Linked DNA regions of Rhinolophus ferrumequinum. The protein of the gene in region 1 interacts with the protein of each later gene in a pairwise test. Links are inferred from orthologs where the notes say so. Each region holds a gene or a part of one and is shown on either strand. Other genes may lie near its edges.

Region 1 (7,225 bases):
ATAATATCACACCTATAGTGGCTTAGGCAAGCTCTTATCTTTAAAAAAAAAAATTGCATCCACTCTGATTTAAGCTTTCTGTTGTTGTTACTGTATACATTTTTCCTTCCTGTCTATTTTTATCCCATAGATTTTGACATTACAGTATTACTTTTGGACAGTTATATTTCAATTTACTTCAGCTTCTAATAAGGAGAGATGAGGCAGAGAAAAAAAAAAATAACCAAAACCCTGAAACAGAAAGAGTGGACCATGCAAAATAAAACTTACATAGCTCCAAACAGCATTCTGAAAACCCAAATTTGTTTAATTGTCAGTGTCTGGATTTCAGTGATCAAGCTGAAATTTACTGAACTATTCCCTCCTCGTCTTGCCTGTTTTGGAGTGTTTCAATTGCCTTTCCTTCTTCCAACAGCTGTGACAACTGTTAAAACAGTCAGTAAAATTAAGTCCGCTCTATAATCCTGTAGTCAATGTTACATTTTAATCAGAGGTTGAAAGGGATTCATGTGATGAGCACACTCATTTAGCATGATTAGACTGACACGTATGTCAAAATGAGCAGATATATTATTTTCATCTATTTATGCTATCAGTTATTACTGCTATTAAATGTGAAACAAGCTTTCAAGTATTATGTTCTTTAATGTGCTGGCCCATTTCCTAAATTAAAAAAAAAAAAATACATAGTTATAGGTTAACATTTTAGGCTCTTCTAACGGTGGTCAATAAATTGTACGAACCTTTTTTTAATCGCCTCCGAAGCAGAAATTGTCCAATATTTTCCTGTGAAACTGCATAACTGGTTTCATTTCTATGTATACACACACGTGATGGGGTTTAACCCAGTACAATTACTATGAATATTAATAGCATGTATAAATTCTAGGGTTTATTAATTGAGACAGAGAGGCAGATGTGTTGCTTAGCATTAGATCTTTCTGTCTGTCCAGTGAACCACGTAACCATCAGAACTGCATCCAGACAATAAATCTGTATTTTTTTTAAAGATGACTTTTAATGGAGCCCAAAAGAAAGCTAGTTTGAATCTTGCGCCAAAGCCAAAAGGACATGTGCCCTGATTTCATTTAAATGCATCTGCTTTAAGAGGCTTATCTAAACCAATTATTCAAATTAGCTATAAAAGTTAAATTCAAGGAAACTACTTTAAAAAGACGCCTCTAGGGGATTTTTAAAGTTTCTTTTATTTCTTTATTTAAGAGAGAAAAGTTCAGAACCTGGGTGAGTTCGGATAATGTGTTCTTCCTGACATGAAGACATTTTAAACTCTCCAATTCTCCAGTCCCCAGTCCTCTAACCTTCACCCTACATTGGAGTGCGCAGTCCTACTTTTGTTTATTTTTCATTTTTATTTTCACACAGTTTAAGCTTGTTTCTCGAGTGTTTCCAACTGATGGAAGCACAGCCTTCCAACCTTTCAGCTCTTCCTAAGTCTACCTCTTGGCTAATATCCTCTGCATGAGTGTGTATATGAGTCTGTGTGTGTGTACACACACACACACACACAGCCACTCAGGCTGCAAGTCACTTTCATCTCTTACTTAATTACAAAGCAGTGCAATATGCAATCACTAAGGACAGCTAGTGGACATTTCCCTATAATGCACTGCCTCATCTTCTACAGTTTTATATTTTCTCCACAATCTATAGAGAGAAATGTTTGCCAAGAGCACTCTTTTCAGAATTATTATAACAGTTGATATTAATGTAATCTGAAAGCAAAGCAATATAACTGACTCAACAGAAAGATGGACCAGTGACAGCTCCAGTGACATACTAATATTTTATCTTAACAGTGGGTTGAAATTAAGTTTATGACCTACTCATTTATACAGGAATGCCTAATTTACTTCACCTAACCCCCTATCTACCCCACCTTTACTAATCCAAATATATAGATCCATGGGCATAAAGATGTTCATAAATACAAATTAAACTGCATGTAAGAACAAAACTACTTTTCTATATTTTCTGGACATGAATCACGAAACAAATTCACAATCTCAACAGAGTCTCTTCAAGGGGAAATTTTAAAAGTCACTACTGTTTCTTTAGGGCTTTTTTTCTCCCTTAAATATTAATAATGTGTGAAAATCTCATGTTACTTAATGGACTGATTTGTCAGTTAAGTGCTGACTTAACGCTAACCATGCAAATAACATTATTCTAGCCCTGAACTGCAAAGGGCTAGTTTTTAAATTGTTTTCTGAAGGAGAATTAGTAAATGTGCAATTTTGCCTCTAACTCTGCCGGGTTAAGAAATGACAGGGCGCTGAAAATATCTGTCAAACTGCACATCCATAAGAAGCGCTCCATAGTATAAATCATTTTGAATATTGTATTTTAAAACATCTTTCCTTGGGAAAATGGGTCCTAGGAAAAGATGCATTTTAACAGTTCACTAAGCATTTGTGCCAAGTGCCTATTCTTAGCACCTGAATAAGAAGTGACTGTCACACAGCTGTTTTACGGACAGTCACTGAGCTTCGCCTCAAAGGTAATATTGTAGTCAGAACAATTCTCGACTTACTGAATTAGGAGATCACGCTCCACACAAAAGGCACCAGACAGACGCAAACAAGCACAGTGCACACAAAACACCCAGGGCATTACCTGAATCAGTGTGCAAAGAGACATTCTGTCCACCCCCCTCCACACACACACACACACACACACACACACACACACACACACACACACTGAGACACACGCACCCCCACGCCGAGTTTTAAAAAGGAAAGAAAAAGGTACCTACTCTTCCTCGTAGTGCAGGGAAAAAGATTCAGGGAGGCAAAGTTCTACCGAATCCATGTGCGACCGGCAACCATTATGTGTGCACCCCAGCTATAAATCAAAGTTTCCTTGACAGAGCACAGTGCAATTAACACAAATGTTCTCCTAGTGACAAGCCTATAGGCACGGCCAGTTGGGACCAAAGCTCTCACACTCTCCTAATCAAGGACTTAAAGCCCCGATTGGAGCTTATTAATATGAAGTAGGGCTTTACATATGCAGTCCCACTGGCCCAGCCGCGCAGCCGATTGGGGGGCGTCTGCCCAATCAGGAGGGAGGCCACGGGAGGCTGCACCGAGCAACGCAGCCAGGCAGGTAGGACGGGTGCAGACAAGCAAGGGGTGAAAACAGAGTGGGAGAGAAACAGAGAGCCAAGACCAGGGATAGAAACGCAGTCTGTGGATCCTGGGCTTCTGCTTTCCTCTCTTTTCTTTTTCCTTTCCTTTCCTTTCTTCTTTTTTTCTTTCTCTCTCTCTCTTTTTTTTTTTTCCTGGGAAGCTGCCAAAGAAACATAACTAACTTAACTCTCTAAGCACTGGAGGCATTGGGTTTCTCTCCTACGTAAGATCCGTTTTGCCTTGCAAAGAAGAACTCACGCAGACTCTCAGTTAATTTGGGAAAGGATTCTGCGGGAAGGTAGAGAATGAAGTTTGTCCTGCGGTTGTGTGTGTCCTACTCCACTGGGGGCTGCGGCTTATTGAGCGCTGTACTTTCTCGTGCATTCGTCATCGTGTCTTTTCCTGTTTTCCTGATGTAGACGGGGCAGTTTAAAGAATCAAAGATATTCTTCTCAATTGTTGGGGCAGGTGAATGGAGATCTCATCTTTGAGGAGGAATTCAGTTTTTCACAAGTACAGAGTGGGGAAATAGTGCCTGGAGACAATTTTGAGAGGATGCCTATTTAAATTATCTGTGTAAACATTTCTTTACCTGCTGCTGTCTCCCTACCTATAGATATACGATGCATAGCTTTTCAAAACTGCAGGACAAATTGGCTTTTCCACTTTCAGGGATGGGAGACTGAGAACTGTAGTGTAAATGGTACCTAAAATCCATCTCAGAGCATTTTGACAAAATAAAGGCTGCATTTTTTATTTTTTATTTTTTATGGTAGGGAGAGCATCACAAAATAGTGCACTCCAAGTGTTCTCAGTCATATACTTATTTCAATACAAGCTTCCAAACTAGGAGACATATACAAATATATATGATTTTACCCAAAAGATCAGCTTTCTAATAAAAGGCTGTTTACATATTTGTTCCTATACATAATACACCCTGAATACTTTAAAAAAAATCAGCTCAGAAATATTTTGGAAATCATCACACAGTCTGATCATTATAAGGACTAGCTTCAAACATAATAATTTACAAAAATAAGAATTCTCAATAAAAAGTATCTTTTTCAGAGAATATAAGAAGAGGAGGGTGTTTTTTCCTCCAATAGTATATAGCGTGTTTTCAGTTTCCACGTGACAAAGAGTTTTGTTAGGTGCTATTTTAAAATACAGGATTTTTTAGACTAGCAAATGTACTTGGAATAAATACCACCTATTTATGGCAAAGAGATGACTGCTACCGTATGGAGAGTGGAAGTCTCACAATTTTGATATAATGCAGTGCTACTGCTTACCAACCTTTTGTATCAAATGTCTTACATGACATAAATAGTATAATCTTTGAAATTAAAATAAATTAATTCAGATAGTCAGCGTGTGTTAAATTCACTAAATCAGAACTTGATTCTTTTTCTCAATGCTCTCAAATTTTCTAGGTCTTCAAAAAACAAAACAAAACACAATACAAAAATAGAACAACCACATTAAAATGCAGAATATAAAAACGACAGGCATCATTTGGTCCCCCCACTGAAAAAAAGCAATTTTTCTACCATGTATTTAGTCAGAGCTAAGATACAGGCCTGATTCCTTTTATTTGTGGTTTAAATACATACAAGTTTCTAGAGGGGAACTCACATAGCAAAAACTGTGCCTGAAAATACTGTATAAAAGCAGGTAGTAAAAGCTTAATTACTAGTAGCATTATGCTGTCTATATTGTTAAATGTGAACTCTGCAATTAAGATGTAAATTTGGTTGTGAGTAGTGAATTAAAAGAGCTTTGAGATGTAGAATATCCAAGCATTCTGCAGATACCAAGGAGTGGGGGAAGATTTGCCTATTCAATCTAAAATGAGACATGGAATCACTTTGTAATTAAAAAATAAATGAAAAGGCATTTGAAAAAGAAACATGATTTTTCTGAAATACAATAAAAGAAATATGGAAGCTAATACTGCATTATAAAGACAGCTTAAAAAATATCTTTGATTCAGATTACTATCTTGACTTCTGAATAAACTGAAATCTTCTGGGTACTGAATGGATCCAATTGTTACATATTTTTAAAAGATTTACAAAAAAAAAAGTTTTCTTCTTACTTTATCCAGAGACCTACTTAAAAATAATAATAATAAATTATTTAATGGATCGACGCATTCAGATTCTGCACCTGTGCAGAATCCTGTACTGCCGTCAGTTTCTTTGCATTATCATGCTGTGACAGAACCTGTTTATTCCTCCGTCGAAATGGCTTTTTAAAGACAAGATTTGTCGTCAATTATTTACCGATGGACCTTAAGTCACCACATTTCACAGGAGTTATCTTTTATTTCCCAGAATTTTCTTATGCCCTTTAGGTACTTATTTGACCCATTATGAACCATTTGATTTTGTTAGTATATATAGATTTTTAACATGGTTAGACTCATATTCATGTGTACGTCTTTTTTCTGTGCTCACAGAGATCCATGTACAAGCGTCCCCAGTTTAGTCCCCATTGATCTCTCAGGAACCATATTTCATCTATGCAAGGTGCAGTGTCCACTAAGCTAGCTGCTTTCCGAATGACCAGAAGTGCACTAGGTTTTCAGAGCTCTCTGTTTTCCCCTTGGGATTAATATGTCACCTCTACAAGTCCAGGACCTAAGATTACACCTACTGTCTTGAATCCAGTTTAACCAATTTAAAATTTAAAATGATCTCTATGGCCCTAAACTTGTGAGATAGCCTCCAGAATATTTTCTAAACACATAGCTTAGTCAGTTCAAGAATCTTCCCGAGTGATAGAGTTTTCTCATCTTGAAAGAGGAAAGAGCGGATAATCACAGGAAATATACACAGCACGAGCAATACTGGGCATAAACCGTTAAGAGTCACAACTTCAAGGATTTGGGGGCGGGAAATGAAACAAATAGATAACAGCCTAGAATAACACATTTTGCTAACACTTCACAATCTTACCACAAGGAGTCTACCCAAAGCAGGATACATGGGACCAAACAAAAGGACCTCTTCGGATTGTTTCACAAAGAATATTAATAAATTAGTTAATATCAGTCTATTATGCATCATGCCCAGTGTCCAATCATAGTGTCAACATGTTCTTCAAACAATATAGTCCCACAATCCAAACAACCGCATTCTTAGGCGCCAAGTGACACAGGGACACCAGGCAGAAAATGTATTTCGTTTCCATTTGAAACAAGGAATGGCAATAAACAAAACTGAAGTGGAAACAAAAGGTAGATAGATCCCTGGTGTCTATAGCAGAATTTTTACTGTATTTTAATCAGCATCATTTCCTAAAACATTCTACTAATGCATACTTCTGTTGCTAAAAGGTGATGAGACCGCTTCAGTCTTGCTATCATTACTGCATATTAACAGCTATTTCTAGGTCCCACTTTCCTTTTCTGAAAATTAACAGGACTAACCTGAATTAACATGCATATAGTCACTGCCCTAATGTTGGAAGCAAATTTTGATTTTTGTATTGCACAGGTGCCATTTGTTAAATATTTAAAACCCAACGAGGCATCGCAAATTTATAGATTTTTTTCGAATTGCCTCGTAATCTACCTCTGCAGATCTTTCCCCCAGATCATAAAACCTTTGAAAAGCTGTTTGGCTTTTTGAACGCTCTTTCCTGCTGTCTTTCATATAGCGCACGTTATGTAACATACCAATGCTACAGAAAGCAAACCAAGACTCTTATAAACTCCTAACTTTAACACCAAAAGAAAACACACAATGAGGATCCCTGGAAAAAAATGCTTAGAGGACAAGCAGGAAGCCTGAAGCCCAAACTCCCTTCTGCCCCGTCATGAGTTGTGTGGCCTTGAGCAGGTCACCTCACTGATCTGTCTCTAGTTTCCTCCTCTGGGCCTTGGGATTTCTTTTATGCTGGAAACCTGCTTAACATACTTTTCCCACTGAGATCACGAAGCCGTCTTGCGACGTCCGTATGCCTACTTTACTCTATATTTCCACCAAACCTCTATCAATTCATCATACCTCATTTTCTGTTGCTTTTCATTTCTAGGGCACAGGCTTTGATATTTAAATTATTGT
Region 2 (7,533 bases), on another chromosome or scaffold:
ATTTATATCAGGTTTCAGATAGTTGTGCCTTCCCAGGTCAAGAGCAGCTTGCTGTGCAAAGATCAGTTTTATAATTTTACCTGGCTTTTTCCCCACCTGTACTCCACTCCTACATCCTTTAGTGAAAACTGCATTACTTTGAAGTTGAAGGTTTCATTCAGGCAGGGAGAGTAGCTTTACTCCCACCCTGAGTTGGAACAGATAATGGATTCTGCAGAGCAGGTGTCCAACTGACCAAGGTCATCGAATAATGATTCAGGGTAAATATCCCAATTGCAGTTGTGGACAAACTCAGCATGTGACAGGTGCAGTTGATGAGTACCCTCTGTCTAGCTGTCACAGTGGTCTGAGGACATGGAACAAATCAAATGAAGAAGCCTGCATCTGCCTTAGAAGGTTATGTCTTCACTAATCCTGTAGCCACTGGCAGGTTGGCATTACTTGGTGCAAATCTCTGCACTGGTGTGTTTAGATGATTTTGTTTCTCAGGAGCTATTTGTTCAGGGGAAAAAATGGAAAGTGGAAAGATGAAGTCAGTTTTCTGCTGAAATTTCCAAAGATGAATACTTGTGAAGAACAAGCAGGCAATCTCATTTTAGACACACTCAATCCAAAGAACCTAGAAAGTCCATCAGAGTTGCAAATAGAAGATTGCAACTTCAAAAAACAAAAGACAAAAAACCCCCACAAGAATAAAACATATCAGAAGACTGCTCCTGGGAAAGAACAGGAATTGTAACCAATATGTTACAAGTTCATGGTTCTCAACATTGTACTGAAGGTTCTATGTGAGATAATCCCTGAAAGGCAAAGTCATTTAATACGTGTGAGGTGTGAAGGATTAAACTCACACAAAAAAATGGGCTTAAGTTACTAGGTTTCTTTTGTGTTTGTTTTTAAATACAGTTGACAAGATGAGTTTTAGAAAAACCTTTGAATAATATAGGGATAGAGTACATATATTAAAATAGTTTATAGCATTTTTCTGCTTTCATAGCTGAAAAGGCTAATGTAAATTTTTTTAATTTTTATTTTTGACATTCAATATTATTTTATATTAGTTTCATGTGTACAGCATAATGGTTCGATATTCATATAATTTATGAAGTGATCCCCCCGATAAGTCTAGTACCCACTCGGTGTGAAAAGGTTAACGTAATATTGAACGTTTTGCTCAATGTTAAGTCATTAGAAAGTGAATCAGTGTAAACTTACGTTGCTTTATATTTTCAATGTAGTGAAGAGGTTAATAAAACGTTTCTGTGAAGGGCTATATTGAGAAAAAAAAAATAACCCTTGAAGGACTAAGAACAAAGTGAACAGATTCATACCGGTTGATAGAATTTTTCCCATTTCACAAGTGTGAAGGCTGAAGTTAAATGACTTGTTCAACATTATAAGAGTGAAAGAGCCCAAATTCACAGTCCTATCTTTTGACTATTCACTCAGTCCTCTTGTTACTTTACCACAGTGCCTGCAGCACTCTATCAAAAAAGGTCCCCACGAAGCTCTGAGTCCAACAGGGCCTTCGAACTTCTCCTTCTTCCAGAGTCACTTCAGTAATAGTTGTGTGGGAATGCTTGCCCTCTGTGTTGAGAGTAGGAGCTATAGCCTTCTCCTGTTTCTCTAAACATGTGGTCAGCCAACAGAAATATTCTTGAGCACCTACTGTATGCCAGACATTGTTCTAGTTGCTGGGATATAGAGTGACCGATTCCTTGCCCTCAGGGGATTTTTATACTAGTGGAGAGGGGAGACAATCAACCAGCATCAAATAACTAAACAAATCAATCATATCAGATTCGGATAAGTGTTAGGAGGAAAATAAAGTAGGGTAACATAGTATAAAGTAACTAGCACTGGCAACTTACGTTGGGACTGAGGCAGCCTGGGTTTTCAGCTAGGTTGTTTGGTGGCTTCATCAAGCAGGAAGACTGTAGAAATAGCAATAGCATACCCAAAATAGTAGCTTGAATATTGGAAATGGCAAATGATGAAATGGACAATGAGATAACATTTCCCTAATACATTATTGTGTGGACCAGGTAACCCATCCAGTGTTTTGAGTCTGGGCCAAGAAATGTGGACATGTAGAAGAAAATGAGACAGCTCCTGGGTGGAGGGTGAGGGTGGCTTTCCCTGGGAGAGAATAATGATGGTATAGTATCACTTCCTAACCCTGAAGTTATCCCACATTATCTTTTAAAAAAAGGGGATACTTATCATATACCAAGCAAACATTTTACATGAAGTAACTCATGTACATGGATTACTTCACAGAAACCACTCTTCATGTTTTACAAATAAGGAAACTGAGGTACAGGCGGCTTAAGTAACTTTCCTGTAAAGGGCTAAATAATGCCCCCCAATGATGTCCGTGTCCGAATCCTCAGAACCTGTGAATATGTTATCTTACATGGTAAAAGGGACTTTGCAAATGTGATTTAACAATTTTGAGATGGAGAGGTTATTCTAGATTATCTGGGTTTGCTCAGTGTAATTATAAAGACACTTATAAGAGTCAGAAAGGAGATGGAAGCAGAGTCGGAGTGATGTGGCCAGGAGCCAAGGAATGCAGGAAGCTTCTAGAAGGTGGAAAAGACAAGGAAATTGATTCTCCTCTAGCACTTCGAGAAGAAACGTCGCCTTGATTTTAGCCCAGTGAAACTGATATCAGAGTTTTGGCTTCCAGAACTGTAGCATAATCAATTTCTGTAGCCTTAAATCATTAAATTTGTGGTAATTTGTTACAGCAGCAACAGAAAACTAATACATTGCCCAAGGCCACGGAGCTACAAAGTGTCAGGGCCAGAATAAAAATTGAGGCAATCTGGTGCCAGTGCTAGAGATTTAGCCACTGTGCTATAGGGCTTCTCCCAGGTAGAACAAAATTTCAGGTTGAATGCAAAATAAATATTTTCTAGATTTTTCTCTTAAGCTTTGAATTTCTAGGTCCCAGAGAAACTGAAAAAAGAGAAAGGGGATCCTATGCCAGCTGATATACACCAGCCCCCACCCCTTCCCTGCTCCATGTCTTCAATCCTCGACCCAAGAGATCACTAAACAAACCTGCCATTCTAGAGATGAGGAATTTGAGGACTAAAGGGTTGTGATTTTGAAATTACCCAGCTGGTTGGTGAAACAATCAACTAGTTACACTAGGGGCAGGTGGTGGTGTGGGGAGACCCACTGATCTCAGTGCCTGTATGGAACTCAAGGAAGGAGGCTGTGTGACAAGTGAGAACCTAAGAATCTAGCTTTCCTGAAACCTGTGTTTCTCATTATTCAGTTAGGAAGGATGGAAAAAGAAATGTTGATTACACATCTACTCAGTGTAATATCTCTAGAAGAATCCAAAGTTCTCACTGTAGCAAGATTTAGCCCCTTGTGATTATTGTATTTCCCCATAGTAGCCACTTTGACATCCTGGTCGCTGCCCCTATTTCTCTAACACAGCACCTAAGACAGTGGGTGCTCATAAATATTAATAGAATTAAACAAAACACTTCTGTCATGCGGGGTCTCTGCTCCCGCTCCCCACATAAGAACACAGGATATGGTGAGGCCAAAAAGGAACACAAACGGAGCCATGGATAAGGGGTTCACACCACTATATTCTCGCTGGCGGCTGGGTTGGAGACACAGGAGGCAGGAGCCACACGATTCGCAATCCAGCGTCCACTTCTCTGCAACCCAACCAACCCAGCGTACCTATGGCAGTTATATCAGTGTCTAATGGCTAACCAGTAACAGCTGATGGCCAACTAGTCACAGCTGATGGCCATCTACTACCAGCGCCAGCACCTTTCCACGTGAGGCGGAGAGCCTGGAAACTGCTCTCTGGGACTCTGTCCCCACAGCTTTCGATTGCATGCTTAGACCAGTGCTTTTCCAAATTTAAGGTGAATGCAAATCCCCTGGGGACCAAGTTAAAAATGCAGATTCAGAGTCAGAAGGTCTGATTGGGGCCAGAGATTGGGCATTTCTACCAAGTTCCCATGATACTAATAGTGCTGGTCCATGGTCTATATTTTTCAAGGTCCCCAAAACTGAAACCTCCCTATCCATATACAAAATATAAGTCATAGAAAGTTTCATCATTCGGTGAAAGTTTCCAAAGATGGCATAGACATATATTTTTCCCGTTTTAGGCACCCCTGCCCTCCCAACAAAGGGAGCAAATGAGATGCCAGAGTTCAATGGAAAGAGTTGGAACAGTGCCGCAAGTACCTGTTCCCGGCTCTGCTTTGGTCTTCCAGAGGCAGGGAAGGGTGTGATGAGAGCAAACAGGAAAGTGTCCAGGAGTTCTCAGGCCTCCCTTCCTCTTCTAGTTCCAGCCTCTAAGTAGTGTCTGCCCCTTATGAACCGCTGAAGTCGCCGTCAAACACACGGGAGCGCAGCGCCGCGCCCCCCTCCGCGCCCTTGCCCAGGCGGAGACGGCCGACGCGCGTGCGTGCGCGCTCAGTATAAATAGCTCCCAGGCGGTTGCCACTGGACAGAGTCCGGCTGCGGACACCGCGGGCCATGGCGGGTGAGGACCACCAGTCGCAGGGCAGCATCCTCTACAACATACTCATGAGCGCGAAGCAAACGCACGCGGCTCCGGAAGCACCGGAGGCTCCCAAGGAGAGGCTGGGGGGCGCATGCTGGGGCTGCTCCTGCGGCGCGGAGCCCCCGGTGGGCAGAGAGGGGCTGCCGGGTGGGAGGGCAGTAGCGCTTCTATACCGCTGCTGCTGTTGTGGTGAAGACCACCCGCGGCAGGGCAGCATCCTCTACAACATCCTTACGAACGCAAAGCAAATGCAAGAGGCTCCGGAGGCGCCCGAGGCGCGGATGCGGGGCGCGTGCTGGGGCTGCTACTGCGGCGTGGAGCCCCCGGTGGGCAGAGAGGGGCTGCAGGACGGGCGAGCCACGGCGCTCCTGTACCGCTGCTGCTTTTGCGGTGAAGACCACCCACGGCAGGGCAGCATCCTCTACAGCTTGCTCACAAGCGCAAAGCAAACGCACGTGGCTCTGAAAGCGCCCGAGGCGCGTCCCGGAGGCGGGTGGTGGGACCGCTCCTACTGCGCGCAGAGGCTGGGGGGCAGCGAGGAGCTGCCAGGTAAGACGGCAGTGGCGCTCCTGTACCGCTGCTGCCTTTGCGGTGAAGACCACCCGCGGCAAGGCAGCATCCCGTTCAACGTGCCCACGAGCGCAAAACAAACGCACGCGGCTCCAGAGGTGCAGCCGGGGGCCCCCTGGTGGAACCCCTTGTGTAGCGCGCAGCGGCTGGTGGCCCTCAAGAATCCACAGGTGGTCTGCGAGGCGGCCTCCGCAGGCCTGTTGAAGACGCTGCGCTTCGTCAAGTACTTAGCCTGTTTCCAGGTGCTGCCCCTAGACCAGCAGCTGGTGCTGGTGCGCAGCTGCTGGGCTTCGCTGCTCATGCTCGAGCTGGCCCAGGACCGCATGAACTTTGAGACAGTGGAGACCTGGGAGCCCAGCCTGCTGCAAAAGATCCTCACCACCAGGCGGCGGGAGATCGCGGGCGACGAGCCGCTGCCTCTCCACACGCTGCCGCCAAACTTGGTACCGCCCATGGAGGGGCGGCATTTGCCGTGGGCCACCGAGGTCCAAGCCATCAAGAGCTTCCTTATCAAGTGCTGGAGCCTGGGGATCAGTACCAAGGAGTACGCCTACCTCAAGGGGACCGTGCTCTTTAACCCGGGTAAGGGCGCCGGCCTGGGGCTCTGGGTTTTCTCTGCTCAGTAGAGCGTTGGTCAGTGCCTACCTGGGGCACAGGGGCTGAACAGCTTTCAGTCGTCAGGGAGTGTCTGGGCAAACGTGAAGAATGGTGATTAACTCAGCATAGTTGGGGGAGCTTCAGAAACCAACCACATCGCGTGGGTAGGCTGCTGCCAGGAACTCAGCCTAGAGGAGGGGGATTTTTTTGTTGAGGTCTGTGCTTGTCTCTACAACTTTCTGTTACTACAGAAAAATTTGTGCCTTCAAGGGACATGGCTATTCCTTCTCTTCTAGTCTTTTAAGTCCACTAGCATAGCTTTAAAAAAACTTTGTGTTCACTGCAAGTTCTGCAACATCTCTTTCTGAATCCCAGTCCTGAAATTTACTAGAACTTCTTTGTTGGAAAAACTCTATTATAAAGACTGGCAAGAAAGGAAACATTTGTTAAGGACCCATAGAGAGACCATCCCCTGGGGACACTGTCAGGCAGGACACTGGACTTGGTGTTTCTGGATCTGCCTCTGAATGGTCATTTTTATGGTCCTAAGCAACTGGACTATTTTATCCTCCAAGTGTCTGTGATGTATCAGGCTAGCAAAGGGGCAGGAAAAAGACACACTAGGTACTTCGACCAGGAGCACTGTATTTTAGAGCTCAAAAAGTCCTTAGAGACCTCCTAATCAACCCCTCTGCCCTCCACCCCACTTGCAAATGATGTACCCTAGTCTCAAGTGACCTTACTCCAAAATAAATGGCCGATGAGTTATGGAGCATGGACCTCCTGTCTCCTGGGCCCAATGGGATGTCTGTTGGATGCTGGGCACTTTCCTCCACACAGGACAACCATATCATGGGAGAACATCTCCCTGGACAGTTCGGCACCTAGTCTTGAGTATGTCTTACTACTAGAGTCATCTTCAACCAGAATCCCACCACAAGGGTCACAGAGTGCTGGAAGTCTCCAGGCAGCTTGAATTGGGGTAGTTTTCATAATGTTCTCTCCATATCCTTTTTTCCTGACACCAGGAGTCTTTGGTTATGTCCTTGCCTCCTGCCTAGCATTTTTTTAAAGGGGTATAGAGCAGTAATTAGTGGGAAAATAATTCATTCAGAACTCACATTTCAGGATCTAGAGACCTCAGCTCATCCCAGCGATCACTGTAGGTCGTCACCTTTTGCTTATATCATTGTTGTCCAAATTTGCCTGTGCGTAAGAAACACTTTAGGGAAGCTTGTTTAAAGTCTCTCCAGGCTCCTTCCCTAGAGGTTCTGACTCAATAGCTCTGGTCCAGGGTCTGCAAATCTGCATTCATAATAAGTGCCTCATGTGGTCTTTAAGATAATTGAAAAACTGTTTTCTCCTTCAGTCAGTGTTATTAAACATCTACCATGTGCCTTGTTCTGTTGGAATACAAAGATAAGATGGGTTCAGCTTCCAGTTTACTTTCTACTAGTTACTACTTTCCCTCTTCTGCCTTGTTTTGCATACTTTTGTCACACACACACAGGCATGTACGCAAGCACGCACCTCCCTTATTCTTGGTTTACTTTCCCGAATCCTCCCAATATGAGTTTAGCCAGCTAAGCTGAGTGTGTTTTAAACACAAATGCACTATATGGGGGCTGGGGAGTAATATCTGTGTAGTGTGTATCCTTTCTTTGCTGTTTATCTGTTTCTATACCTTGATTTTTATGTTTAAACTTTTTTTTTTTTTTTTTTTTTTTTTACAATGGAGTCCATCTATTTGCCTTTTCTCTTTCATGAATCTGCTTTGAAGGCAAATCAGGGAGGGAGGTTGGAAAAGGAGGGTG

What was found.
Region 2: the proteins of ESRRG (region 1) and NR0B1 interact in binary tests that used the Homo sapiens proteins (3 or more experiments, as listed by UniProt). The link is inferred for Rhinolophus ferrumequinum from reciprocal best matches to the Homo sapiens genes ESRRG and NR0B1.

What each region holds. Positions count from the first base shown.
Region 1 is NC_046310.1:8,615,129-8,622,353, forward strand, and holds the start of ESRRG (estrogen-related receptor gamma), read right to left. Parts: upstream 3,006-7,225; 5' UTR 2,833-3,005; coding exon 2,777-2,832; exon of another isoform or gene 2,773-2,776; intron 1-2,772. UniProt on the Homo sapiens protein: Orphan receptor that acts as a transcription activator in the absence of bound ligand. Binds specifically to an estrogen response element and activates reporter genes controlled by estrogen response elements.
Region 2 is NC_046284.1:102,306,114-102,313,646, forward strand, and holds the start of NR0B1 (nuclear receptor subfamily 0 group B member 1), read left to right. Parts: upstream 1-4,524; coding exon 4,525-5,704; intron 5,705-7,533. UniProt on the Homo sapiens protein: Nuclear receptor that lacks a DNA-binding domain and acts as a corepressor that inhibits the transcriptional activity of other nuclear receptors through heterodimeric interactions.